Linked DNA regions of Oreochromis niloticus. The protein of the gene in region 4 purifies or fractionates together with the protein of the main gene of each other region. This does not show direct contact. Links are inferred from orthologs where the notes say so. Each region holds a gene or a part of one and is shown on either strand. Other genes may lie near its edges. The genes, in order: snrpa, cherp, phf5a and sf3a2.

The links.
Region 1: the proteins of sf3a2 (region 4) and snrpa fractionate together in Homo sapiens (co-fractionation; 3 studies listed by BioGRID and IntAct, with this or other methods). This does not show direct contact. The link is inferred for Oreochromis niloticus from reciprocal best matches to the Homo sapiens genes SF3A2 and SNRPA.
Region 2: the proteins of sf3a2 (region 4) and cherp purify together in Homo sapiens (affinity purification with mass spectrometry; 3 studies listed by BioGRID, with this or other methods). This does not show direct contact. The link is inferred for Oreochromis niloticus from reciprocal best matches to the Homo sapiens genes SF3A2 and CHERP.
Region 3: the proteins of sf3a2 (region 4) and phf5a purify together in Homo sapiens (affinity purification with mass spectrometry; 5 studies listed by BioGRID and IntAct, with this or other methods). This does not show direct contact. The link is inferred for Oreochromis niloticus from reciprocal best matches to the Homo sapiens genes SF3A2 and PHF5A.

Annotation. Positions count from the first base shown.
Region 1 is NC_031979.2:23,337,295-23,344,979, forward strand, and holds snrpa (U1 small nuclear ribonucleoprotein A), read left to right. Parts: upstream 1-4,665; 5' UTR 4,666-4,784; intron 4,785-4,790; exon of another isoform or gene 4,791-4,988; intron 4,989-5,094; 5' UTR 5,095-5,105; coding exon 5,106-5,178; intron 5,179-5,278; coding exon 5,279-5,451; intron 5,452-5,537; coding exon 5,538-5,714; intron 5,715-6,378; coding exon 6,379-6,555; intron 6,556-6,652; coding exon 6,653-6,741; intron 6,742-6,825; coding exon 6,826-6,985; 3' UTR 6,986-7,393; downstream 7,394-7,685. Other genes in the region: actmap (actin maturation protease), read right to left, coding at 29-158, 382-506, 727-795, 3,832-4,001. UniProt on the Homo sapiens protein: Component of the spliceosomal U1 snRNP, which is essential for recognition of the pre-mRNA 5' splice-site and the subsequent assembly of the spliceosome. U1 snRNP is the first snRNP to interact with pre-mRNA.
Region 2 is NC_031981.2:23,794,673-23,801,773, reverse strand, and holds the start of cherp (calcium homeostasis endoplasmic reticulum protein), read left to right. Parts: upstream 1-4,094; 5' UTR 4,095-4,245; coding exon 4,246-4,270; intron 4,271-4,829; coding exon 4,830-5,003; intron 5,004-7,101. Other genes in the region: dohh (deoxyhypusine hydroxylase), read right to left, coding at 755-922, 1,490-1,595. UniProt on the Homo sapiens protein: Involved in calcium homeostasis, growth and proliferation.
Region 3 is NC_031973.2:22,533,149-22,540,044, forward strand, and holds phf5a (PHD finger-like domain-containing protein 5A), read right to left. Parts: upstream 1,917-6,896; 5' UTR 1,812-1,916; coding exon 1,760-1,811; intron 1,493-1,759; coding exon 1,469-1,492; intron 988-1,468; coding exon 821-987; intron 717-820; coding exon 627-716; 3' UTR 521-626; downstream 1-520. Other genes in the region: aco2 (aconitate hydratase, mitochondrial), read left to right, coding at 6,618-6,653.
Region 4 is NC_031982.2:13,069,700-13,076,831, reverse strand, and holds the start of sf3a2 (splicing factor 3A subunit 2), read left to right. Parts: upstream 1-4,114; 5' UTR 4,115-4,256; exon of another isoform or gene 4,257-4,282; intron 4,283-4,888; 5' UTR 4,889-4,959; coding exon 4,960-5,157; intron 5,158-5,268; coding exon 5,269-5,315; intron 5,316-5,420; coding exon 5,421-5,530; intron 5,531-5,651; coding exon 5,652-5,701; intron 5,702-5,992; coding exon 5,993-6,133; intron 6,134-6,223; coding exon 6,224-6,292; intron 6,293-6,856; coding exon 6,857-7,126; 3' UTR 7,127-7,132. Other genes in the region: plekhj1 (pleckstrin homology domain-containing family J member 1), read right to left, coding at 1,716-1,782, 1,877-1,944, 2,119-2,271, 2,477-2,591. UniProt on the Homo sapiens protein: Component of the 17S U2 SnRNP complex of the spliceosome, a large ribonucleoprotein complex that removes introns from transcribed pre-mRNAs.

The DNA.
Region 1 (7,685 bases), on a different chromosome or scaffold from region 4:
CCTTTCCCCATGGTTTGGTCCAGGATACGGGATGAGAACAGGCTGTCTCCCCCACAGGTGTGAGATGATGGCTGCAGCATTATTACCACTCAGACCCCCCGAAAGGAGCTCGGCCTTGCAGCCACACACCTCTTCTGCCAGCAGGGCCATATTGTCAGCTGACAAAATAAAAAAGATTAATGAGAACATAAAGAAACCAAAATTCACCAGCTTGAAACTGAATGTTTACGTGCTTGTGGAACATTAAATTAAATATCAGCTGCAAAATGTGTCATAAAAGGTCCAAATGTTTAATCACAGCCCCCACCTGTTTCTTTTGTGCTATTTTTTTGCCCCCAATTACAAAAAGACCTGAAGAGTTTAAACATTTTTATTTTATACCCGAGAACATTTCACCCTGAGCCGTGTATCCCCTGCTCAGAGCTGTCTGAACCACCGTCTCCATGTCAACACTCAGCTGTGGCTGCCGTAGGTGAGCAGCCATCCACAAAGCCACCAGACCACACCTACAAGGTTACCAGAAATAACACACTGAACAAATACGTCACCCACTCACGTGAAAGGATTCAGGTAAACCAAATAACTCAGTACTAAAAACAATAAAATACTATAGCAGTTAAAAATTGTTGTGGAAACAGGCGTGCTATGCAACATACTTCTTAGCCAAAAATAGATTGAGGTGTTGAGTGACAGGTATTACAGTGACGCTTCACTTTAATGACTTACTGTGGACCATCTTGAATGAGTGAAGGCACGTAAGTGTTCACCAGAATCCACTGAAGGTCCTTCCTGAAACTGAAGAACAAACAAATGGCACTGCATAACATGAAGGCATGGAGTTTGTTAACCGTTTATCTGATGCACTTACACAAATGCAGAAATTTGTACAAAAGAAAAAGTTTTTTTCTCAGCCATGAATCAATTCTAAGCATCAGTGCCATGGGCTGTGTCCTATTATCTGCATCAAAACTGTAGCAGTTTACAGCATGTGAGTGTTTGCTATCCCCAACTGTTTCTACTCCCTGCTTTCTGATTTTTTTTATACTCACATGTTAATCAACTGGCTGATAACTATATTGGCTGCCACAGTTTCAGGATACTTTGAGGAGTGAAATGCCAGCATTATAAAAAGCTTCTTTCACAGAACTATCATATACAGTACTGTGCAAAAGTCTTGAGCCACCCTGGCTGCTTTTCATTCAATTCAATTGAATTCAGTTTTATTTATACATCGCCAAATCACAACAACAGTCACGTCAAGGTGCTTTATATTGTAAGGTAGACCCTACAATAATACATACAGAGTAAAACCCAACAATCATACGACCCCCTATGAGCAGGCATTTTGGCAACAGTGGGAAGGAAAAAGTCCCTTTTAACAGGAAGAAACCTCCAGCAGAACCAGGCTCAGGAAAGAGCCGCCATCTGCCGCGACTGGTTGGGGTGAGGGGAGGAAGACAGGACAAAAGACATGCCGTGGAATAGAGCCAGAGATAATTAATAAGTAATGATTCAATGCAGTGAGGTCTATTAACACATAGTGAGTGAGAAAGGTGACTAAAGAAGTACTTAGTGCATCATGGGAATCCCCCAGCAGCCTACACCTATTGCAGCACATAGTTAGTGCTGGATCAGGGTCACCTTTATTCCACTGACAGTGCGTTTGGAATCATTGTCATGCTGAAAAGGAATCTGATGCCAATCAGATGCTTTCCAGATGGGACTGACGGTGGATCAAAATGTGATGGTACTTCTCTGCATTTATAATTCAATCTCATGTAATTCGGTATACGTCAGCTGCTTGTTTTCCTTCCTTAAGGACAGCTTTTTGAAAGCCACCCTTTCAGTGAGACCATTTCTGATGAGGCTTCAGTGAACAGTAGATGGATAAAGTGAAAGGCCAGATCCATCTGATACTGGTTCCAGTCTTTACTGGATTTTTTCCTTTTTTTACAAGGACATTGCTTTCAGATATTTTTCATCTGCTAAAGTTTTTAGGCCTTTCACTTCTTTTGTCCTCTATTTTGCAGTTCTCTCAAATATTTAAGAGCACACTACACACCAAGCAAAAATACTATTTTATGTCTGCCAAACTGTATTGTCTGACACTTTTTCATAGATTCAACTAAAGAAATGGGAACAAATTATGTGTTTATATAACAGGCTGGTAGTAACAAAGTGCCCATAGATACAATTTAAAGTAAGTACTTTTCCAATTTGTCTGTAATGTGACTCACACTGACAACGGTTTGAGTTAGGTTCCCTTTTTATGCCATGATTCATAGGTCAGTATTAAGTTGCACAAAAAAGATTATTCCTCTGAATAAAAGTCAAATGGGAGGACTGGACTGAGAATGAGTGGAAAAAGCAGCCAGTGTCCAAAGAAAAACTTTTCAAAGACCTTCAGAAAGTCTGAAGAAGTATTGTTTAAGACCACTTTTTAAAAAATGACAAAAAGGTCTCACTCTTGGCTCAGGACTTTTGCCCTAAACTGGACATTCAGTTTTATTGACTCCGTGTCAGAGATATCTTCAGGCAACTCTCTGTTCTTGGGGTTAAAATACAATATAATAATATCACAATACAATAGGATAATGCAACTTTGTAGCAAAGTTGTAGTAGTACTCAATACAAAACAACATAACCATCAGAGAAACACACTCTTTGTATACAGTCCATTGTGGTGTCTGTGTGTGTACTATTTTTAAACATTTTAATTAAATTAACAAATCTCTCACTTTACTGCTGTCCTTCATTCTCCCTGTGAGATTCATGTTCTTCACTGCAAGCTAGTTAAGGTCTCTCTTTACTTTACTGTAATTCATAATTAGAGCCATTTGTGTATATTAGAGTTATTTGTTATATTTTGTAACTTTGTAGCATTATTTCATTTAGTTTAGCTAGTTACTGTTCTTACTGTCTTGGAGCAGCTGTGATCACATAATTACCTGTGTGATTAATAAAGTATCCTGATTCTGACTGTGGGATACTTATCGACTCATAAGTTCATCCGTTCAGACATCTGACCAGAATGCCTCCAGGACACTACAGGAGAGGTGTTTTGGGCCGGCCCAGGACACACTGAAGAGATTATATCTCTGAGATGTTCCTGAGCAAACCCAGTGTCCCCTCAGGAGAGACGGAGGAAGATGAGATGGAGGTCTGCTTCCCCCACCACCCACATAAGTGGCAGAAAATAGATGCATATATTGCTCTGTCAATACTTTATCTCACTGCTCACTGGTTCTGGATTATATAACTGTACATTCGGAGATGTGTCCTGATCCGTGGGTTTTGTTATGTTTTAGGTTTTCTGGACTTTAGATTTCTTTTCACTGTTATTCCTTAAGGTTCTTATTTTTTAAGCTTGTTACTTTAATTCTGGTTTATATTGGTTATTAATAGGTAACTCTTTGTTTAGCCTAGCCTCCCCAAGTGTCTTCTTGTATCTTGTAGTTAAGTTGTTGTCTCTGTGTTAGGTGTCCCTCTGTTACATTACTCACTTGGTGAATCCTTCCCTCTTATGTTTGGTTTTTAGTTCCTGTGTCTTTGATTAGTTAAACCGCGTGGTTGTGTTGTTTGTCCCTAAAAACATTAGATCAGTTATCACAGTCATGGCTGATTATGCTGCACATGGATTTTCAATCAATAACCTCTATGGTTGTGTTGGCAAATGAAACATTTGAACTGCACAAGGGATCTGCTTGATCAACTTGAGCATGACTGTGTGTGACAAATGTCTGCCAAGCATGTGAGCACTTAAAAATAAAATTCATGTGCAGATTTAGCAATTTTCCACACAAAGCGAAAACATCCATGATAAAACCTGACCTGGTCTCCCTCTGACTGATCAGCAAGCAAGCCTCTGTGTGATCTCCCTCTACAGCACTCCTACTGCTGGCTATAGTCTGATACAGCTTCTTCTTTGGTGCTGACGTTTGAGGTGGTGTACGTGGAGCAGGTGGAGGCGGTGGAGGTGGCAGGGAGCATTCCACTGACATCTTCTCCTATCCTGAGGAATTGTAGACTGAGAAAGTAGAAATCAGGGGCAAGCTACAGCAAGCCAATATAAACAGTGTAATTACAGAACCTGCAACTACCTGCCCAACTTCCACTTCTTCTTATAATAAGCTAATAACTAAACCTGTCAACATACAGGACCAAATGACGAACGTTATTCGATGTTGGAAACTATTTTAGTGCAAACTGGTGTGCAGAAATTATATAAAAGCACTTCGTTTCTGGTCTTTCGCACACTTACCCCACACCCACTTGTCTAACTAGCAAAGCCAGCTAACAACACCCGGCTTGTCCCCAAATTTGGCAGTACTACTCTCGCGCTGCGTCTTCTTCTTCTTCTTTGTGTAGTCACACCTCAGGAACGTAGAAACATACCGCCCTCCAGTGCATCTAAATTATCTCAATACCGACTGCAAAATTAATACATATGACTCTAACTGCTAGTTAAATATGAAGCTAAAGATAAATTATAAGAATTAAAAAAAAAAAAAACTGCTGGCGCTAAGCTAACCCGGACAAAAATATGAGTTACACCATAATCTGAACTCTGAGAAGAATTGTATCAGAATGTCTGCCCCTATGTTATATTTTTATCCAAAACTGTGACACAAAATATTATGTTGCCACAATGATTGGAAACAGCTACAACAGGGAAAAATAATAATAAATTGGGACACGGATGTTAAACATCGGAAGTTACGCTTGCATTGTTATCGCGAGAACAGAAAACGGGATTTGTGAAGACCGGGGTTTTCATTCATCAGGTAAGAACGTCGAGCTAAAGACTTGAATCGTTTATTTTCTTACGTAGAAACACTTCTTCAGCGCTTTCATGTGCTTAAATAATGCATTTGAGCTCTTTGTGACGATCTTAAGTATTTGGGTGACTAGTATATACATGTAAAACACCAAACATTGTGCTAATTTGTAGTAGATAGCTTGCAGGCTAACCCTCCCCGTCACGTTTGGTGAGTGTTTGCTAACGATCGCTAGCTAGTTAGCTGCTTAGCATGTAATCTAAACTGCGCCTCAGACTGTCTCTAAAAGTAGAAACGTTCATCAAACGCTCATCAGCAGATTAAAGGATGGCCACTCCAGAGGTCCGGCTCAATCATACTATCTACATCAACAACCTGAATGAGAAGATCAAGAAAGATGGTGAGGTTTGCACGTTGAAATCGCTTTCCGTTTAAATATGCACAACCAGACTAATCCTTTTATTTATTTATTTGTTTGTTTATTTTTTAATTTACTGTAGAGCTGAAAAAGTCGCTGTACGCCATCTTCTCACAGTTCGGACAGATTTTGGATATCCTGGTGGCACGAAACATTAAGATGAAGGGTCAGGCCTTTGTTATCTTCAAAGAGATTAACAGCGCCTCCAATGCGCTGAGATCAATGCAGGGCTTCCCCTTCTATGATAAACCAATGGTAGGGTAACTAAACACTGAATATCACACAGCTGCTGCTTAGCATAGTTTGTGTGTCACACGTGGTCTTTCTGTTTGGTCCTGCAGCGCATACAGTATGCAAAGACTGACTCTGACATCATAGCTAAAATGAAGGGGACTTACGTGGAGCGTGACCGCAAAAAAGAGAAGAAGAAGATCAAAGGACCTGATGCCACTGGACCAAAGAAGGGTGTAGCAGGAGCTGGTGCAGCCATGGTCGCTGGCGTGCCTGCTGCCATGCCTGTAAGTGGAACCAGAGCTGTGTTATTGGTTATTTTGGCAACTGTCATGTATTCACAAGGGAGCTCTGAGCCAAAGTGTGGGCAGAGACACAAAGTATACAAACCCTGAGATTTCTAACTTTAATATGTTGGAAAATTCTTGTTTATTTTGTTCTATAGCTTAGATGTTTTATAGTAGATTCTTACTGTTTCCTGGATCACAGAATACCCTAAAAGAAAGGCCACAGTTTGTCAGGTGTGTTTCTGAGACATTAATGAGCAACATGGGGGCTCCACAGGGGACTGTCCTGGGTCTATTGCTTTCTACATTGCATACAGCAGACTTCGATATATAGATACAGAAAATCATTCTCTACAAATGGCAGATGAGCTATGTCAAACGTATGAATTTCCCTTTGTTATCAATAAAGTTGTTCTTATCTTATGGCTGAAACATGTTTTCAGCTCAATTTGCAGAGCAAAAAACATTAAACTGAATTGGGATTAACCCTTTAAGAACAATATTAATAAATAAGGAAACAAAAACAAAGGGAGAAAGTTTCTCCTGCATCTAGAACAGTTTGTGTGATTGAAAACTGACAAATGTAAATAGTAGCACACACAATGAAAGATAACCTCAGAAGAGGAAAATGGACATTGAGTTTAACAAGCTCTTCACTCTTTAGGGAATGCCTCCAATGAGCCAGGCTCCCCGTATGATGCACATGCCTGGCCAGCCACCTTACATGCCCCCTCCAGGCATGATGCCACCTCCAGGGATGGCGCCTGGCCAGATGCCCCCTGGTGCCATTCCTCCTGGTCAGATGATGCCTGGACAGATGCCTGGACAAATGCCCCAGCAGGTAGTGTTTTGTGACAGAGCATGTTGTGTCTTCATTGAATTTAATAAATTGATATTTTTCTGGTTGATTGATTCTGATGTCCAATGTGTACTCGTAGGTTGCAGAAAATCCCCCCAATCACATCCTCTTCCTCACCAACCTGCCAGAGGAGACAAACGAGCTCATGCTGTCCATGCTCTTCAACCAGTCAGTAGCAACCCATTCTCTAGATCTAGTTTTGCAGGCTTGTCTGTTAAAGGCTGAGCCTAACTGTTGGTGTGTGTGTTTTAGGTTCCCAGGATTCAAGGAGGTGCGTTTGGTCCCTGGACGCCACGACATCGCATTTGTGGAGTTTGAGAACGAGGTGCAGGCCGGAGCTGCACGAGACGCACTACAAGGCTTCAAGATCACGCAGACGAATGCAATGAAGATTTCATTCGCTAAGAAATAAGCTCTCAGGAACGGTGGTCTTTTTTTCCCCAACATATAAACAGGTCTTTGTTTTTTAAACTTGCAGTAAATCTGACTGTGATGCATTCTTAGAAATTGACTTTCAGGGTTGCACGTAAGTATGTGTCAAGCTGCTGTTTTTTTTTATCGTGCCACATTGACAGAACTCTTTAAAAATAAAGGACAAACATATGTGAGTTTTGTATCCTATTGATAGTAAACTCACATATGTAGAAGTTTTTTTTTGTTTGGTTTTTTTGTTTTTGTTTTTTAGCTTTACATCCAAATCCACAAGCAGCTTGATATGTTTTCTACATTTGTCATAAAGCATTGCACCCAGAGTCTGGTTTACCAGACATTGTACCTGGAGCTTTTCTTTCTTTTTATAAATAAAATTGTGTTCTAAGAATGTGCTGCTCTTCATTTAAGCTGCAGTTTGAGCTTTCTGCCAATAGGTGACGCTTTCTCTTCTCTTGTGTTAAACATTTGCTCTCAAAGACAGAGTCCCTGTAGTCAAAAGGATCTCATCTTTAAACAACTTCAGCTGCACAACATGTAGAAGGAGAAACCAGCGTTGAGAAAACCCTTTTCTTTCAGGATGCTAATGCCATGTGCTGCAGTCTGAAGTTAGACCACATCTGCAGAAAATTTAGTTCTTTGGAGTCTGATTATTACAAAGCATGGAGACTTTATGGGACTCC
Region 2 (7,101 bases), on a different chromosome or scaffold from region 4:
ACAATTCTGGCAAAGTGTAGCCTTTTCGCAAGGCACCTAGTGCTCCTTACAAAGACCACTAAAGCATCTTAATGTGGGGGCAGTATATTTGGCTACTCATTTTGGTTTTTGTTGTTTTGGCAGTCCATGCTATCATACAGATGCCGTGATTGGTACTCCAGTGGATTGAATTCCAGCTCCACTGTCTGCATCAATGGTCCTTGTGGTGCTCTAGAGACCAGAGCGAGCTAGGGAGAGGATTGCATCCCTCAAACCAGAACCTGCAGTACATGAAACTGGTCTACATGTCACTACTCCATCTCCACAAGGCTGCAGTGCAAAAAAAAAAAAAGACTTTGTAACCAGCCCAAAATGGCAAAGCTTCAGACTCATTTGACAAGCAGCTGCTTATACTGCTTTTTGTCACAAAGTACTTAGCAAAGGTAAGATTTGTGGAGGAGCAACTAAATTATTTAATTGTTTAATTATACCACCTTACCTAAATGACCGTTAAGAAAAAAAATTGATGACAAGGGAGTAGTTCATTTTCTACTACTCTAGGTATTTTACACAGTGCACGTGTGTCTGTATTGCATGTGTGTTGTAAAAATACAAAAAGCAGATTAATTGGGAACTTCTGTATTTAGTGCAGCAACAAATGAACACCTGGACACGCACCATCTGTGCAGAGCACAGAGCTTACATAAAACATACTGTGTCAAAATACTTGTGTTTGGTAGTACACCGACTCCTCATCCCCATCAAGCACGCTTACCTGCTTCATGCCTAACCATTGGCTCCTGCTGTTTATCTTTGAGAACAGCAGTCAAAGTAGGAATGGCCCGTTTGTCCTGCATCTGTCCCAGGCAGTAAGCCAACTCATGCTTCAGCAGGGCTGATTCATCAGCGAAGGCTTTGCTGATCCATTCTATAGCTTCAGCACCTGACACACACAGATGACAGCTTGAATTAGTTCACCCAAAAGTCACTACCGGCATTCAGTCACACCAAATATATTGCAACAATATGCAACAGCTGTGCTGTGATTTCAGTTTGCATTAAAAAAAAGATCTTTCAGAGAAAAAGAAACAACTGAATGTCTTGTCTTTCAGACAGTACAGTGCTGCTTTCTGTGATTAAGCCAACCATACGAAGAGGAAAAGACTGGTGGCTGCAAGCGCGAGGGCAAGACGTTATTGCAAAGTTTAGAGATTTAAAGATTACTTTTTTTCCTGTGAGTTTTGTTGGAAAACATAGGGGCTACTAAAATATGCTGAAAGGACAGAAACAACCACAACTACATTTGAAAAAAAAAAAAAAGAAGAAGAAGAAACTGAATGTGTGGGGTGATTCCCACCCCTACAAACCAATGTTGGAGTCCTACATACTACTGCAAATCTTGAGCACTGGGCACATGGACTGCCGCTATTTTGTTACTTAGCTGAGTGCTTTTGTCATTTGTCCAGTTTTTGAAAATAAAAAATAAAACTATGTGGTCCTGGTGTTTTACCTCCCAGGTTCCTCAGGGTAAATAAAGCTCTGAACCGCTTGGTCAGGTCCTGTCTCGGGTCCACCAGCTCCTGTCCTATTGATCCAATCTTCTCGACAGTAGCCATGCTGCTGGAAAGAGAGCAAGACACTTATGAATCTTGGACCTGTAAACTTAGAGCAACGTGAAAGCTTTTTTTTCCTCACTCATAGTTTAGTGGAGAAAATTATATATATTCAAGTCTTAATTTATCTTATTTATACTAAAAATCTATAACTGCTAGGTGAAAACAAAACGTTTATATCAGGGGTCCCCAATCCCAGTCCACGGGGGCCGGTGTCCTGCAGGTTTTAGATGCGTCCTTGATCCATCACAGCTGATTTAAATGGATAAATTACCTTCTCAACCCCTGGTTTATATAGACTATAACCGAGCCATATGAGGATTTTGACTAAATACCTGGAGTCCAGGCCAATATTAAAACCAGCTACGGAGGGTATAGTATTTAGATGTAGTTTCTGTCGACGGCCTGCAGCTAGCTCTGTACTTTACATGATGTATTATTGATCTTTTTCACGCTTCTCTCCTTCCTGGTGAACACCGCTGTCACTTCACTACATTCCGGTGTCTTGCGCCTGCGTCGGGAGCACGCGCTGAGCACACCGGCTTCCACAAATAAACCATCGCCTATCATTGGCTGAACTCTTTCACAACAACATCACACGGTATCCACTAACGCCACCACACAACGGCGCCCAGTGTAAACGTTGTCTAAACGTACCAAGCTTCAGTATGTACAGTATTTCACACACCTCCGTCACGGTCCCCACAGCACAATCCACGGACAGTCGCAGGAAGTTGTTGTGTCCTTCTTCTTTTTGTTATTTGTGCAGGTGGTTGGAAAACTACGAAATTGTGTTTTGCCGCCACCAACTGGTATGGAGTGTAGACTGAAATGTGGCTCAAAAAACAAAAAAAACAGGGCTATTTATGAACATAAACCACACACCTTTAAAATATTTGGAATGGAGGTAGCAATAGAAAAAAAATCAAATAATGTTATGTGTAACTTTTTTCTTTAGTTGGACAGATAAAATAAAAAAGAAACTCATGCTATACAAGTGCAGCACAATTTACAGACAGTTGTACTGTGTATTACTACTGTGCTGACTGAGAGGTGATGTCCTTCAAGTAAAAAAGAGTGCTTCTTCACCTCAGTGTTCTAGTGGGGGTTATTGGGGGGCTATTTTCCTTGAAAATTTCACCTGATAGTCAAGGAATTTAAATAAAATAGAGTAAATTTATAATTAGTCAGTTTGCTGATAAAATGCCTTTGTTGTTGTATTTTTCATTTTTTTTGTAAAAGAACTTGTGATCTCTAAAGGAACAAAATTAATTTTTCTCAAAAGCATCTGGTCTGATTGTAAATGTTCTGATATGTCAGATTTTAGCAATTTGCAATCTTGATTTAAATTTTTACATCGCGGTAAAACGAGAGGTGAAATACTTTAATAAAGTATAAAGTATATCATAATAATAAAATGATCTGTTGTTGAAAGGAACATTTGAATACCACTCCTAAATTTCTTATTAAAGCGATTTGAAATTGAGGTTGACTCATGTAATTTTTGTACTTCTGAATGTGAAACTGGTGATCATTTCTATTTTAAATTCTCCTCATGTGAGTTTATTTTGGTCAGACATTTACAGTTGACTTTATCTGAAAATAGTCAACATTTCCATGCTTACTTATTGTTTCTTTTGGGGTTGAACAACAAAATTTCTGATACTGTTAATCTAATTATTATTCTGGGTAAATACCATTTTAATTCTTAAAATCATCAATTAATGTAATCTGACTAACTGCATGTCTTTGGACTGTGGGGGGAAGCTGGAGAACCAGAGGAGAATATTCAAACTCCACACAGAAAGGCCCTAGCCAGATTGTGGATGTGAACCCAGGACCTTTTTGCTGTGACACAATAGTGCTAAACACTGTGTTGCTAAGCTCAAAATATGTATATGTAGATCCTTGCTCCTTTGACCCATCGAGCCTTGCTTTTATAAACCCCTTTTGTTTGTTCATTTTTTCTGGTGTTCTGTTTTTCTTTTCCCTTTTTTAATTTCTGCCATTTGGGCATTGGACCTTAGATGGTTAGGAAAAACTGTTGACTGATGCTTTTGAACCCCGTCTTTTGCTGATCATACAACAAACAAACAAAAAGATAGCTCTGCACTGCCAAGTGGGTCATTTGAAATGACCAACTGGATAGCACAGCATTCCCATTGGACTGGGTGCTGGATCCAGCTGGATAAGTGTCTTGTTTGGTCTATCTGTCCAAAAGGTTTGCCTCCTATATTGACCAGGAAGAGAAACTACGGGGTTTCAACCATGTTTTCTAGGATAGGATTTTGTAAGCATATATAATAAAGATCAGGACTAAAGATATTTTAAAATGTTGTATTTTTTTAATATATATTTTACTTATAGTTAAATAAAAATATTTTCATTTTTGGACGTTTACTCGCCGCTGCAACCATCAATCCACCCAAACGAGCAAGGCGCGAACACTCCTCCCAGTCGCAAGGGGCGCTGGAGACAATTCCATAGCCATCTTTTGTGGCGCTGTTTCTGTATCGCATTTCCTGTGCGTAGCAGCGGCAATGCAAGTGATTTTGGGGGAATTTGATATATCTTTTTCTGAAAAAGTAAAGAATTTGGCGGAGTTTTTACATACATATTCTGGCTAAGTGGTTCGCTGGAACAGAAATTAAACATGGATATCCCCAGTCCTCCCGAAGGTGAGCCGTACACCACAGCTATTTTAAATTTCGATTCAACGTAAGCGAGCACCCATGCTATCTGCTACATAGCTAACAAAACCATTGGATTTAGCATGTTGATTAAGGTCACCGATCAGAAGTGGATGAATGTTTAACCGGGCTCTGTGTGTAATCATTGCACCAACTAACGTGAAAAATGGTGTAGAAATAATCCAGTAATAGAGAGTAAACGTTAGTTGTTCTAACTTTTCACGGCTGCTGGCTTTTAAGAAAAAGAACCCCCATAGAAAGAAGATCCCTTATAGATATTTTTGTGCTACAGCAGCACGATTAAGAGTAAAATTAAAGCCAACTGATTTAATAATACTATGTAGGAATATAGAAATAATTCATGCTTACGCAACCTCATTTCTAGATATTTCTGTTTCAGAAGAAATTCATTATTTTCTAAATCTGTTTTATTTGATTTTTTTAAAAGAACTTCAGTCACTATTATTTCTGTCTATTTCAGTGTCTCTGTTCTGTGGTTTTTACAACAACATTTTTCACTGTATTTATGTCTGTTTTTTTTGTACAGATCAGGAGCTTCGAAATGTGATTGATAAGCTGGCCCAGTTTGTTGCCCGAAATGGCCCAGAGTTTGAGAAGATGACGATGGAAAAACAGAAGGACAACCATAAGTTCTCCTTCCTTTTTGGGGGCGAATACTTCAGCTACTACAAGTACAAACTTGCTATGGAACAACAGCAACGTATGTAGTTAAACTGACACATCACAATAAAAACAGAATTTTCACATAGAGGTCAATTTAGTATTGGAATATTAAGTTCATTTGATGTTCAGTACTTTGGATTTCTTACTATAATAGAAATATTCAAACTAAAAAAAATGTAATAAAAAACAGTTTTTACAGATAAAAGCGGAAAAAAACCCCCAACCCAGTACATGCACCAGATATGTTGGCAGAATTATTTACTTTTCTGTTTTGGGGTGAAACTGTTAATTGAACAGTCCAGCATTGTATTGGTAATGTGAATCTGTTTTTGGCATGGATTTTTTTCCTTTTGATTAAAGGCTTTCAGACTGCCTTTATATCATCACCTGGCAGCAGTAGTCCTTCTGCTCGCAGCCTTCGTCAGCTGCAGAGTCAGTTCTCTAGCTCACAGAAAATCTCCCCAAAAGCAGAACAAGGATATCAGTCAGTAAATGCACTAAAGACAGTGGACTTGGAATCTCACTACAGGATAAAAGGTGTCCAAATGACACTTTGGTCTGGCTTAATAGCAACCGGGCAAATCTGTGGAAGGAACTGTTGCAGCTAAATTTGAAAATACAAATCTTTAAATTTAGAATCTCTTCAATAATCAAAGACACGTTGGTGGTGTCCAAAGAATCATTTTCATATCCGACATTTGGGTAGGAGGATTAGCAGATGAAGCACTGTTTTGTAGTATCTTACAGTGCGCTGTCTACACATACAGTTTTTCCGGCAGTCTTCAAGGAGACATCAGTGAATTATAATGTAAATAGCTAAGTGGGCATTGTAGCAAGTTTGCCACTACAGGAACCCCTCTATATGTACCTTGCATACAGTTTCTTTGTTCGGTGTTTCTCTCTTTATTTACGCACATACAACGAGTTTCAAAATTCTGTCACTCTCCATGCTTTTAGGAGGTTGAGGTGGTATACTTGTGTGGCACCAATCCTGTGTCCACCCCACTTCACAATCTATGTCCCCCACTCGCCACATGGCCATAAAGGGTCCTTGCTAGTTGGCGAGTAATTTTGAATTGCAAATGGGAAGAAATACGTGTATTTTACCTCCCAGTTTGAGCTGTCTGAGTCTAGTGCCTCTGTTGTACAGGTGCTGCTAACATTCCTTTTATCACTCAGCCGTAAAAGGCTGATGGGGTTTCTTGTCACCCTGTTAAGGTCAGAGGTCAAATCTTCTGAAAATCTTGTGAATGCGATACCGCAAGAGGGAAGTCACCTAGGATTTTCAAATTGATACCACAGGTGCATCTAGTAAAAATGAATGCCATAACTTGAGAACAAGATGACATAGGATTTTGAAACTGATACCACAGGTATGTCTGTTAGAACTGATTCAAGTTTGGTGTTTTTGTTATTGTTGTGTAGGACAACAAAATAACAACATTTTGGCAACCCCTGAACATGCAAAATATTCAAAAAAATGTGCAAAATGGCAAATATTTAAAAGTACACATGAAGAATAAAAAAATAAATAGAATAAAAGAATACAAAATACGTACAAGGTCATAAAACGTATGTGCAAAGATAAGAACATTATGAAAATTTAGTAATGACTTTACAAGTTGTATGTGCAAGTTTCACAGTATAGCAAATGTAGTGCTATTACACAGAAGTTGTAATAGGAAGGCTAGCAATCATGTGTGGACTGTGTGTATGTGTGTAGCAGCATTTGAGTATAGTTGATGTACATAGGATCAAGTTCTGTTCTTCTTGACTGTCTGAAATCCACCACAATCTCCTTGGCTTTGCTGCTGTGTAGTATGAGTTTGTTGATGGGGCACCAGGCGATTAGGCTCTACACTTTTTCTCTATCTGCAGTCTTGTTGTTAATGGAGATCAGGCCAGTGACTGTGTGTCGTCCGCAAACTTGATGATGGTGTTTGTTGTGTTTGAAGGTTGACAGTCATGGTTGAACAGGTCTTACAGAACAGGGCTCAGCTCACATCCCTTTGGTACATTGAGGATGGAGGATGCGCGTTTGCCCATCCTGACAGTCTGGGGATAGTTGGTTAAGAAATACAGGGTCCACCTAAAGATGGTCGGGCTGAGACGGTTTGGGAGTTTGGACACCAGTT
Region 3 (6,896 bases), on a different chromosome or scaffold from region 4:
GAAAGAGGTCAAGGGTTAAAGGGGGTTTCTTTTACTCGCCACCCATCTGTACCTTTTTAAATCATTACTAAAAACAGATCCTGACATTTTTTACACTGAAAATGTTATTTCATTTTGGCTCTTGCCCCTGTGTTCAGCAGTCCACAGAAAGTGGGAGTATTTATACCATTAATGGTAACAGCTCAGGTCTTTGTGTATAAAAAGCATCATGCATTGCCAGCTGGAAGAAGAAGCTAAGAGAAGAGAAGAGAACGAAGACACTGAGATTTAGCAAACACTGCCACTGACTCACTGCTGATGTTAAGAGGGAAAACGTCCTGAGCAGATTTTGTTAAGAGGAAAAACCTCAACAAGTAACAAGACAGACTTCACATCAAAATGGAATCAAAAGCTCAGAGTTGTTTAGTGAGCTTTAATTTAAAAAAAATCCTTTCCAGTGACACCTCTTCATTTCCCCATTTTTATGACGTGTTCACTGATTATTTAAAAATCTTGAACACCAACAAAGCAGTCATAGAAAAAAAGTATAAAATTGAGTTTTATTGACAAATCAAACAAAGGTTTTTTTGTGAGTTTTAAAGAAAATCTGAAAGACTAAACGTTGCACTGGGTCGTCGTGGTCGTGTTCACCTCTTCTTGAAGCCGTACTTCTTTCGTTCATAGAACAGATCTGTTTTGGAGCTGCCCAGGTTTACAATCTTAGGACATCCATCTCGCTGGAGAGAGAGAAAGAAATTTTTTATCTTAAAGAACAAGTCTCTTGGATATTTTGCTGCTTCAGTATCCAGTGTCAAAGTGAAGAGAGGAGCGGGAAACTCACATCTTTCTCCTGGATGGTGCATTCTTTGCAGTAGTAGGCGTCAGACACACCAGGCCCTCCACATATGACGCAGCGCCCCTGATAGGAGCCGTAGTTACACTCATCGCAAATACGCACCAGTGTGCACGGTCTCACGTAGGAATCACAGATGACACACTTTCCATCACCTGGACAGAGAAGAGAGGAAGAAGAAAGGTTTAAACTTATACTGGAGGAATTTGAGTTTAGAGTTGTTTGTGTATTTTGTTTTCTTTTGGACTAAATAGACAATAACAATAACAATTTACAGATATAGTGACTATGTTGACTGTAGAGTGTACAAATAAAACAACAGCAATAAAATTAATGATTAAAACTAGAGATTAACATCTATACTCTGGCTTATTTTCAAAAGCAGGGATTTAAAAGTCTGTAGTTTTAGAGATTTGAAAGAAACACAGGGTAAGTAAATATTACTGGTGTAATAAATTAAAAACACACACAGATTAAATCCTGATTGTTATGAACGTGGTTATAAAAATAAAATTAGCTGATTAAACTTGTAGTTAAATAAATGAAACAAAAATATGACATAAACAGACCTTAACACTAGTTTAAAACACATGCCGCTTGTTGTTCCAGATATTACTCACAGATAAAAACACTTACATTTCTCACAGAGTCTCCCGATAGCTGCGGGATAGAAACAAAACAAAGTGAGTCAATGTGACAGGAATTCACACAAAAAACAAACCCCACTTTCTTCTAGTTACGATACCCTTCTAGCCACCAGAGCCCACAGACCTGCAAACACTTCCAGGCTAACACATTTTCAATGAAATCCACGCCATGTTAGCATGGATGCTAACGCTATGACCTACGAAACAACAACAAGGGACTTCCGGCTGCAGCAAAATCCACTGTGCCGAATACTGAAACGTAAAATGAGTCCAAACTTACCAACACCAGCTTGTTTTCGACAGAAGATCAAATCTGGATGATGTTTAGCCATCTTAGGTTTACGTAAGTAAAGCGCTTCTCTTTCTTTTTCTTCTTCTTCTGCTGCTGCAGCTGGTTTTTCTTCTTCTTTGTCGTTTTTGGCGGTTGGCAAACAACGATGTGGTACATTACCGCCACCAACTGTCCACAAGTGTGGACCGGAATTCGCTCATATCAAATAATCGGAAAATAAATACAATAAATAAATACTACAGGATATATATATGTCCTCATATCCTTTCACACAAATGAGTTTGTTTTAGAAACTGAAATAAAGCCATAAAACTTTCACATCTAGAATTCCTTTGCAATAAATCCTTTATATCTAGCTTAATCCCCCCAGATTTTGAATCAGTTGTGTTCTTTCTTCCTGTAATTTTGATTTTGGTTTAATTTATTCCACGGCGATTACATTTCCCTGTTTGATGTTGCCCTATAATGAATAGCGTACTGTTTAATCCAGTGTGGCCAGATCTGAATCAAGATATTATTGTCTCCTCTCTCCTGGTCCTCCCTGTGCTTCTCATGTTTCTTGTTTTCCTTTGAATAGAATAAAACCATCTCCCTGTCCTCTCCTCCTCCCACAGCTTTTTGCCCTATTTCCCACATTATCTGTTTTATTGTGCTCTTCATTTCAGCGTTGCTAATACTGATATTTAAACTTGATCTCCTTTAGCAGCCTAATATTAATTTGATCTATTTGGATTTCTATTGTTTTCCAGGTTGCTGTCCATCCAAAGCTCTTTGACTCCTTTACCTCCTTCTGCCAACAAGGTTTAATTGTTTCCATTGTGGGGTGATCTTTTCATGGGAAAAAATTGAAGATATGACACACTGATGCAATGTGAAGTAGTCAGTGTACAGCTTGTATAACAGTGTAAATTTGCTGTCACCTCAAAATAACTCAACATACAGCCATTAACATCTGAACTGCTGGCAACAAAAGTGAGTACACACCTAGGTGAAAATGTCCAAACTGTCCCCAAAATATCAATATTTTGTGTGGCAACCATTATTTTCCAACACTGCCTTAAAGCGTTATGGCTTGCTAATCACCTGCATGTGCTCCAGAGCAGTGCATCTCGAGATGCTTGACGATTTCTCTCCAGATTCCTTCATCAACTCCTTACGTGCATTCATAGCCATCAGAGGTACAGTTCTCCGGATAAGATGCAATCAAGGCACAAACTATGTCGGCACAAGCAATGATTTACTGAAGAATTTAAAGAAATACATCAAGCAAAACTTTGAAAACTGGACCGCGAGTTTCTCATCAACACCCCAGCACGTAGTCATATGAGTGGTGTCTGGGAAAGACAAATTCGCATTCGCAAAGTGTACTCACATCAGTTCTTGAACAATGAGCCAAACAACTTGACAGCTCCTCTCTAAGGACATTCCTGTATGAAGTCATGGCAGTGATTAATAGCAGACCATTGGCTACTGACCAACTATGTCATACCTATGGTTGTCCCCACACCTAGGGACACCTTGCTGTCCTCTGCATACTGCTGCTATATGCCCATATCTCTGACCTTTGTAGCATCTAGAGAGGGAGGGATATATGGCCTATCTGTAAAACACATGCATCCTATTTTGACTTTTTCTGGAAGGGTAGGACCTTGAAACTTAAACATCACTGACAAGCTATCAACTCTTTCCCCATTGACTGTTCTTAATAGTCTTTTAACTCGACTCACTTCCAGACCTTGAATGCTCCGTTTTAGTTTTTCAGGATTCTCATCCACCGGAATCCCTGTTATGACCCTCTTGTTGTTTTATTCTCTCCTTCAGGCATCCTTTCTACTACATCTTTATACATATGTTCTCAATACGCATTATTATTTTTTTCCTCCTCCCTCTTACGTGCTATCAACAAGTTCCTGTCTCTTAGGATTCTTGCTTGTTGGACATCCCCTATCTTCTTTTTCAGTTCCCTCGATACTGCACTTGGACTTAACTGCATGTTCTCATCCTCCTTCCTAAACTTCAGTATTATTTTGAATTCCTCTCTTACTATCGTCTTCCGAACTACAGCACTCCCTTCATCTGAACTTCTGCTATCGCCCGTTTCTAATTTGGCATTCCAACCAAATTTTCATCCTCTCCCCACTTACTACCTCGTCCTCGTCCTTTCCTACCTACCTTATCATCCTCATCCTCTACCTGAGTTGACATTTCAGTCCTGTCACAAGCCAGCTTATGCCATCCGCTGTCCACCTTCTTGCCCAGCTGCTGAGCTCGGCAGCACCACCCGAGTCCTTGCTCCGGATCATAACATAGAAAATTGGGGGCAATTTGACCAGTTCAATTCAGTTATTCAAATAATCGCTAGCTGCAACAGTAAAGTGGTTTACATGTGAATGAATCAATAGGTATGAGTCCATGATCTAATATGCAGTCAGGGGAAAAAGAAAGTTCACCCTTACTGAAGCAGTCATGTGAATTCAGAAGGATGTTCTCTGTTTCGTCATCGTCAGGTTGTTTCTCAGTCGTTGTTTTTCCTGCTTTGTGCTTTTGTTTCAGTTACTGTTACTTCAGTTTACCACGGGCCCCGCTGTTCCCTGTGTGTTGTCAAGCCTCTGCCTGTGATGTTACCCGATTTTAGTTATTTCCTGTTTCATTTTGGCAACCTTTGTCTTGTGCGTTTGGTATTTCGTTTTACCTTCCCTGTCTTCTTTTCCTCATTAGATGCAGTTGTGTTTCCTGTTACCTGATGTGTTTATATTGTGTCAGTCTCCCCTTTGTCATGCCCTCCCTGGATGGTTGTGTTTTTCCTTATTTCACGTTTCCCTGAGATTTCTAGTTTTTGTTATTGTTTGCTCCTGATGAACTCCTTGTTTTTTGTCTTTCTGAAAGTTGAGCATTAAAGCTGTCCTTTGAGCTGATGTTCTGTCTCAAGTTGTGCGTTTGTGTCCACATCCTGCCTGGCACACAGACGAATTTTGACACTCAGACTATACGGGCTTCAGCTAGCATGTTAAAGTTTATGACAGTACAATTAGTGTCATGGTTGGCTGTGTGGCAGGCAGGCAGGCAGGAAAAAGGACCCAAAATGCAGGACTCTTGGAGACGGAACTTTAAACTCAAAGCGCAGCTTTATTGCTGGGAAAAACAAAACAAAACTTTGGACAGATGAACTAAGGACTGAAACACTGGAAGAGGAATTCTAAACAGGAGCATGAGCCAAAGAGCAGGTCCGGAGGCCGACCGCGCGGGAGGCAGTGGCGGCAGCGACAGAGCAGGTCCGGAGGCCGACTACGCGGGAGGCAGTGGCGGCGGCGGCGACAGAGCAGGTCCGGAGGCCGACCGCGCGGGAGGCAGTGGCGGCGGCGACAGAGCAGGTCCGGAGGCCAACCGCGGGGAAGGCTGCGGCGGCGACGAGGCAGGTCCAGAGGCCGACCGCGCGGGAGGCAGTGGCGGCGGCGACAGAGCAGGTCTGGAGGCCAACCGCGCGGGAGGCAATGGCGGCAGCGACAGAGCAGGAGGCAGTGGCAGCGGCGACAGAGCAGGTCCAGAGGCTGACCGCGCGGGACGCAGTGGCGGTAGCGACAGAGCAGGTCCGGAGGCCGACTGCGCGGGAGGCAGTGGCGGCGGCGGCGACAGAGCAGGTCTGGAGGCCGACCGCGCGGGAGGCAGTGGCGGCGGCGGCGACAGAGCAGGTCCGGAGGCCGACCGCGCGGGAGGCAGTGGCGGCGGCGGCGACAGAGCAGGAGGCAGTGGCGGCGGCGACAGAGCAGGTCCAGAGGCTGACCGCGCAGGACGCAGTGGCGGTGGCGACAGAGCAGGTCCGGAGGCCGACCGCGCGGGAGACAGTGGCGGCGGCGGCGACCTCGTTCAGGGGCCGCCCTTGACGGTGATGACGTCCAGCTAGAGGCCTGGAAAGTGGCTGGCAGAGGTGAGGTGATCCAGGGAGAGCTGGATCAGACGGTGGTGTAGCATCCGCAGGACCAGGCAAGGTCGGACCAGGCACGGCAGAGGCAGGACCAGGTGCGGCAGCATGGCAGCTGCGGAACCAGGCGCGGCAGCGTGGCAGCTGCGTAACCAGGTGGCAGCGTGGCAGCTGCGGAACCAGGCGGCAGCGTGGCAGCTGCGGAACCAGGCGTGGCAGCTGCGGAACCAGGCGGCAGCGTGGCAGCTGCGGAACCAGGCGTGGCAGCTGCGGAACCAGGCGGCAGCGTGGCAGCTGCGGAACCAGGCGGCAGCGTGGCAGCTGCGGGTGGTGGCGCTGCAGGTGATGGAGTGGAAGCCCCTGACGAAGGCACTGCAGGCAATGCAGGAGGTGGCAGATAGGATTCAGAGCCGTCAGCGGTCCTTAGCTGGCCGAATGAGCTCACTAGAGCTTCCAGCGTACTCATGTACACATTCAAAGTCCCAAATAAACATGTCCATCAAAACCTCATCAGGCAAGCTGCGATAATTTAATTCATTTTTAATTTGACTAACAAATGCTAAAATTAGGGCAATTTCATCAGTTTTCTTTTTATTTTAGTTTTCCAAGCTCACAAAATCCTTTCAGACAGTTTTACTTTTTCAGTTTTGGTTTGTATTTTAATTAATTAAAAATTTTCCCCACAAAAAAAGAAGCCCTGTGGGAGTGGTGTTGTTAAAAAAAATTAATAAAAAAATAATAATTGAAAAACTTTGGGAGGACATAAAGCAGACTATGAAGGAGCGTTTGTTTTTTTTTTCTCCACTAAGCGGCAGCACGCTTCATGTCACAGCTGCCGTTAAACCCCAAAGAAGAAGAAGAAGAAGAAGGCCGCCTTACAATTGTGTTACGTCATCACCGACCCTCACATCTTTGTCAGTGAACAAAATGGCAACTTACTGTCTCACGGTCGCTCGGCTCCAGGTAAGAGACAAATTGACTAATTTCATCGCATTTGTCCAGCCGAGGCGGATGCCACCCTCCGTATGAGATTTAATAAATCTGACTGAATGCTGTGCTGACCCAGATAAAGCACCGAGAGAGGCTAAAGTGGAGAGATAAGCTGAGACACTAGCACTGCTTAGTTGTCCAGGTCATCGTGTCCCGACTGCTCTGAACGCATCTAGCTAGTTTGACTCAGGCTTAATAAATCACGACTATAGTGAC
Region 4 (7,132 bases):
ACAGAAACAGCAGAGCGCAGGTGAGAAAGTGAAAATAAGTCAGAGTGAAATATACAGTTAGGTCAATATGTTTTTGTAGTTTTGCTTCTATATACCACCACGGTTCATTCTACATCAAACTATTACAATATGACAGAAGTGCAGACTTTAGCTTTAACTCAATGTATTTAACAAAAGTGATGAACTGACTGTTTAGGTATTACAGCCATTTCTTACACAGTCAAACAACTGACTGCCAGTTTCATGACCAGGTGTGTCCTGTTTCCTTGTTCGATGACAAGATAAGCAGATAAAAAGTATGCAGTTGATTCCAGATGATGTTGATGAAGGCGCAGGAGGCCGAATAACCAAAATAAACCTAAATGAGAGACAACAACAACTGTAGGAACAGCCAAATGAGCAATCTGGTTCATTCTTAAAAAAAAGAAGAAATGCACTGGCCAGCTCAGCAACATCAAAAGGCCTTAAAGGCCACAGAAGACAACTAAAGTGCTTGACTGCAGAATTATTTGCATGGTTAGGAAAAACAACGCCAAAACATCCAACAACATCGAGCCAAGAACACTGTTGTGAAGGTAGCAAATCAACATAAGTCTAGAATGAAGAGACACCTTCATGAATGGAAATGCAGAGAGTTTACAACAAGGTGCAAACCACTGGTTACACTCAAGAAAAGGAAGGCCAGATTAGACTTTGTCAGAAAACATCTAAAAGAGTCTGCTCAGATCAAACCAAGATGAACTTGTACCAGGATGATGGAAGGAGAAAAGTACAGAGAAGGAAAGACACAGCTCATGATCGGAGGCATCACACATTATCTGTCATACATGGGCATTATATGGCTGCCAGTGGAACCGGATCACTAGTGTTTATTTTTCCTCCAAAGGGAGGAAGTATGTAATCGGTACCATTTGTCTGTCTGCTTGTTAGCAGTTTAGTGTCCACGGTTTTCATGATATAATTTTCACATTTGGTGTGATGGTAGATACCAATAACAGCTCGAGTTGATTTAATTTTAGTGAAAATTGTGTCAATGTTAAAGTCACACAGAATATGAAAAAAAAGCTGTAAACTTTATATCATCCACAATTTTTTTAATGGATTGTCTTTATCTTCATTACTAGCACCCAAGGTCAAAGTTGACCTTGAAAACCATTTTAAAGAAATCATATTGAGTAATATATCATATGAAAGCACATGGAGAGAGCGGTACAACACACTTTCAATTGTCTCAATACGACACCCAATGATGTCACAATGATGCCATTAACAGGTTGATGTCAGCATGTTGTAATAAAGACATCATAAAATATAACAGTTTTAGTACAGCCCTTGCTCTTCGGCGGGAGTTGCACTCTGTGTCTGCTGACAGAAATATGAGCAAAAGCAACTCAAGAGATTTTTAAGCCAAAGAAAGGAATCGTCTTCAACTGAAGTTGGTCACCTGATCTCAACCCAATAACACAAAACTAGTAACTGAAGGCGGCTGCAATAAAGACTGTTTTATAAAAATGGCTGTAACTCCTAAACAGGTAACGTGACATTGTTGTTATAGCCCCTGAATAAAAGCTGGGAGTCTGCGCTTCAAAGGCATGTTCATTGTTTGATATAAAAACCACTGGGGTTGTGTACAGAGGCAAAACTACCAAAAACAAATCGGTCACTTACAGACTTAGTCACTCCTAACTGTACCTCTAAAGGATGCTGTAGCTTACCAATAGAGAAAGTCTGGCTGTCCTCCCTTTCCACCCTACACTGCTCCAGCAGCAAAGCTCCAATTGGCTGCCAAATAAACACTCAGTTAATTTTGACCCCCCTTTTGAAACAAATGTATTCAATTTATCACAGAAAATGCTGTGACAACAAGCATACTGACCTCTTCCTCATCAGTCCGGAAATAAAAGAGGAAGTTGACGACGAGTTTCACTAGCCTCTTCTTTACAACTGCAAGGCCACAAAAGGGAAGTTAGACAGACAAACTCGTCTCTACAACAAACACAAAGCAGCCCAGCTGTCGCATGAAGTATACAGAGAGAGATATGTCTAATATCTGATGCTGACATTAGCTGCTGTGCCCAAATACACGAAACGGAAGTGCGTCTGAATGACTGTCCTTACCATCTCCTTTCTTGGGACCTCTCATCCCCAGTTCAGCTGCTCTCTCCGACGGCTGGCGGCTCAGTAACACCAGCTCCTTCTCGTTGAAACGCATCGCGGACACACACAAACACTCACAGGCTGGACAGACGGACACACGCAGGTACACGGATGCTAAAGAGGACCCGTACCCCCAGTCGAAAGCATAACACAGGAGTTAGCTAACGGTAGTACGGTGCAAGGACTATATTGTATACACCGCTGAGTCCACGTCGCTGCTTCGTTATCTAACGTCCCCGAAACCTGTCGGACTGCGTTTGATCATTTCTGTGGGTCAACTGAAAACAACAGCTCTGGACTTCATGCCACACTCACACACCTCTAGTAATGACACTCCTCTCTGCCGAGGTTGTCTTCTTCCTCTTCTTGGTCAGGCGCGTTACTGCCCTCTGCAGGTCAAAAATGGCTCCTTTGTTCTGTGCAAGAGTCAGCATTTAGATGTTTCTTATCCGGAAACAGAGGCCCCAGCTTCAGTCTGGTTAACCTAAACATTTTCCGTTTGGTTTGCACTAACTAGCGTACTAAGGTACACTCATAGGCCACTTTGTTCATTAAAGTAAATATGTAATCATGTAAGCATGTAGGCATGTTCAAGATCAACTGCAGAAGTTGAAACCGAGCATTAGAGTGGGGGAAAAGGCGATTTAATAGACTATGAATGTGGCATGGTCTAGGGCTGTGCGATATGACCAAAATCTCATATCCCGATATTAAGACATCTATCGTCCGATAACGATATAAATCACAAAAATGTAACATTTTCTGTAAATTCTGTGAATGTCGAGCAGCTCGACTTGCGTGAAATGTTTCCAGCTGGGCGTCGGGTACCTGGAGTCGAGTGTTTTAACTGATGCATGAAACGATACATTTTTAGACATAGGTTGTAATGGCCGCCGTTTTCTTTGTGAGTATTTATTACACAGCGTGCTGCGGGGAAAAGCCTGTTCTAACGTTTGAGTCTAAGGTTTATTTTTTAGCACCTGATGGCTCATTTTTGCTTCTCATCCGTAAATACTCTGCATCTTTCACGTGATTCAGTTTATTTTGAAAAGTCTCAACAGGATCTTGAGCTTTATTGTGAAAGGTTTATGTGGAAAATAAACAAGCGGACACGAGGTGGTTTTACCGTCGTTGTTGCTAACGACAAGCATAAAAACAAGCGCTTGTCCGTCTGTAGTGTGGTTATATTAAATATAAGAGAAAGAGAGAACTTTAGGAAATAAATATAGCCACTACAGTGACCATCAAAATAATGAAAAAATATTGCCGTAAACAGTTTATTTTGCGACACCATGAAACAAACGATAGCGTAAAATTAAACGATAGACGTTTTTATATCGTCATCCGATATATATCGTTATATCGAAGAGCCCTAGCATGGTCTATGGGGATTTTCCTGCCCAAGGATCTATAGCGTTTTACAGAGATTCGTCCAAAAAAAAAGAAGAAATCCAGTGGGCAGCAGTTCTCTGTAATATTCTTGATATTTATAATTGAACATGTGTCTATATTAGTGCTATTTCTTACATTTGTAAACTTTGTAATATATTGTATTATTTCATTACTTTAGTCTGTTACTGTTATTGGCTTGGAGCAACTGAAACCCACATAATTTTGTTAAGGATTATTAAAGTATTCTGATTCTGATTCTCTGCTGGTATTACAAATGTATTTGTAATGTCTTTCTAATACTAGAGGTCAGCGGAGAATGGCCCCTTAGCACCACAGCTTACCTGAAAACTAAACCGAAACTAACAAACTGTCAACTACAATGAAATAATTGTTTTTAAATGCAAAACTATAAAACTTATGTTTTAGAATTGTGTTTCTACTGAAAATGAATTAGGAAAAAAAGCCAGAATTTCTAAATGAACCACTGAGCAGTTTATCTTTTTAAATTAATTAATTTTTACCTCCTGTGTCTGCTGCTGTGAAACAATCAGAAATTTAAGAACAAGAAGTCCCCCCTCATAGGCCCAGCCGTCGTGTTGGCTGGAGATCCAGCCCAGCAGGTGGCAGTAACACACCAGAGGGTTTTTTACAAACCACCAAAACCCGGGAAAAAGAATCTACTGAAGCGCATGCGCAGAACAAATCAGGTGAGCGTGTCGCTGTCGTTGAGCTGGTGAGTGTTTTGATAAAGTAATCTGATTGTAGTCTCCTAAAATGTTTAATTTTGTGGCTAACGGATGTGGTGATTTTGCATTTTTAATATTCACTTTAATCATCTGTATTTGTTAAAAGCTTTTCATTATTAGTTGGCAGCACCATTAGCTTAGCATTAAAATTGCTAGCGCATTTAGCGGCTTTTGTATGCTAACATGCTACAGCTAGCTAGATGTTGTTGGGATCATTCGCAGAATGTATTTCTTTTGTAATAATGGGAAGAATTTTTTTTGTACGCTGGTAAATTGCCACAGATAACTTAACTTGGTCCTCTAAAATCCGCTGTTTGGGCCTTACTCCGCAGTGTTCATGTTGACTCTTTGTAAGGAAGTTAGCATTGGGAATCTTCGTATAGAGGGGATTGTAATGACGAGCTGCTTTTAAAACAGGTTGTATGACCCATGTAGGTTTGAGCAATAAAAATGTGTCCAGGTTAGAGCCTTAGCTAAAACACAAGTAATAATGCCAATCTACACATGATGCTGTTGTTGTGCTACAGCCCTGGAGTGCAGGGTTATTAATGTCGACCTTCACTGGCAGTACTTATTGTTTTATTTTTAACCAGGTAATCAGGGGAATCTATTTGGAGTAACTGTCCACATTCGTGTGACTGTTTGACTCCAAAACCTTACAAAAATGGATTTCCAGCATCGAGCTGGAGGGAAGACGGGGAGCGGAGGGGTGGCGTCTGCCTCTGAGAGTAACCGTGACAGGCGAGAACGGTTACGTCAGTTGGCCTTGGAGACCATTGATATCAACAAAGACCCCTACTTTATGAAGAACCATTTAGGATCATACGAGTGCAAACTTTGTCTGACACTTCACAACAATGAGGTGAGGGACACCTAATGAGACATTTCTCTGTTCACTGAATTTGTTTTTATTTCTTGTCATCTGGGTGTCTTATTTGAAAAGAAAAATCAAAAATGTCTCTCTGTATTTCAGGGAAGCTACTTGGCTCACACACAAGGAAAGAAACACCAGACCAATCTGTAAGTCCATAAGTTATCTGTGCTACAACACAGAAGTGCAAGAGCTGTTACTTTATGTTCTGATTTAATTAAAGTTGCTGGAAACTGTTTACATACATTTTTCAGAGCACGGAGGGCAGCCAAAGAAGCAAAAGAAGCTCCTGCTCAACCAGCTCCAGCCAAAGTGAAAGTTGAGGTCAAGAAATTTGTCAAAATTGGTCGACCAGGATACAAAGGTAGGCAAGCTCTGGCATTTTATATGGCAGTCACAGTTTGGTTTTTAATACTAGTTTCTCTACAAAATACATTGTCAAAAAAATTAATCTTTTTTTTTTAATTTTTATTAATTATTCACAGTGACCAAACAGAGGGATCCAGAGACGGGACAGCAATCTTTACTTTTCCAGGTTTGTATATTTTGAAAGAATGCATATAATCCAGTACCCTTTTGAAGCCGGGTAAATAAGTTATTATTTGTGTGCTTCAAACCAAAGCAAAATGCACACTTATTCTTTGGATAATCTGGTGAGTTCTGCATAAATGTGGCAAACTCAATCTTGTTAGTCAGTTGGCGAAAGGAGCTTTACACTGAAACTGGGTCACAGGAACAAATCATAACCTCATGCTCTAACCTGCAAAGTTTCGTACCACAACAGTAAAGGCCATGTGTTACTGACCTTCTTTTCTTGGCCCATCAGATTGACTATCCAGAGATCGCTGAAGGAATTGGACCCAGGCATCGCTTCATGTCCGCTTACGAACAGCGCATTGAGCCTCCCGATCGTCGCTGGCAGTACCTGCTTTTTGCTGCTGAACCATATGAGACCATTGCTTTCAAGGTGAGACCTGCACTTTTCTCTTCCCCTTATGTTTTTTTTCTTTGTCATTTTTCCTTCACTCCTGTAATAACAAGATGTTTGCTGTTTTAGGTACCCAGCAGAGAAATTGATAAAGCAGAAAACCGCTTCTGGACCCACTGGAACAAAGAAACTAAACAGGTACCAGCTATGTTACAGAGTGCCTGCCAGTAGAGTTATTAGGTCCAGTTGCCAGAACCAATGGGAGGGGTGAAGCAAAGTGGGCACACTGTGTGTCAAAAACAGAAAAGCAGAGGTGTAGATTTAGCTGCTTTTTTTGTGTAGAAAAACTCTGTCTGATAAGATGCGCACCTTGGGGAATTTTTCCCCGTCTTTCCGTATGAGAAGACAATAATGTATCACAGAGTGAGAGAGAGCTCTGAATCATTGTTTACCTCATTTACATGCAACCTAATCTAATTAGTAAACACATGTGGGTGAATGTCAGCCCGTGGGTGAATGAAGGTAAAATGGTCTCTTGAACTTGTTTATAGTTCTAACTTTTTCAAGCTGTTATGCACAAATAGCAGTTGATAGGAACAGTGAGTCAATAAAGTGAACTTAATATTTGTTCTATATGTTTATTTCTTCATCTTAAAGATCCTTGTAAAAAGTTTCTGTGATATACAAGTTTAAACTAGTGGAACTTGTATATTAGTTTTCCAAAAATGTCTTTAATTGTTCTTTTTTTGTTTTTCTATCCAGTTTTTCCTACAGTTCCACTTCAAAATGGAGAAACCTGTTACCCAGTCGAGCGGTCCAGCACCTGCTGCCACTGTGAAGCGTCCTCCTCCCCTTATGAGTGGAGATCACCCATCAAACGAGTCTCTGCCCCCTCCGCCTCCAGGGGGAATGCCCGTCCCTCCTCTCCCGCCTGGTGGCCCAGGAGCCCCTCAGATGCCCCCACAGATGCCCATGCCCCCCATGCCAATGAGGCCACCCCCTCCAGAGGGCCTTACATTAGCTAATAACTGATCTCTG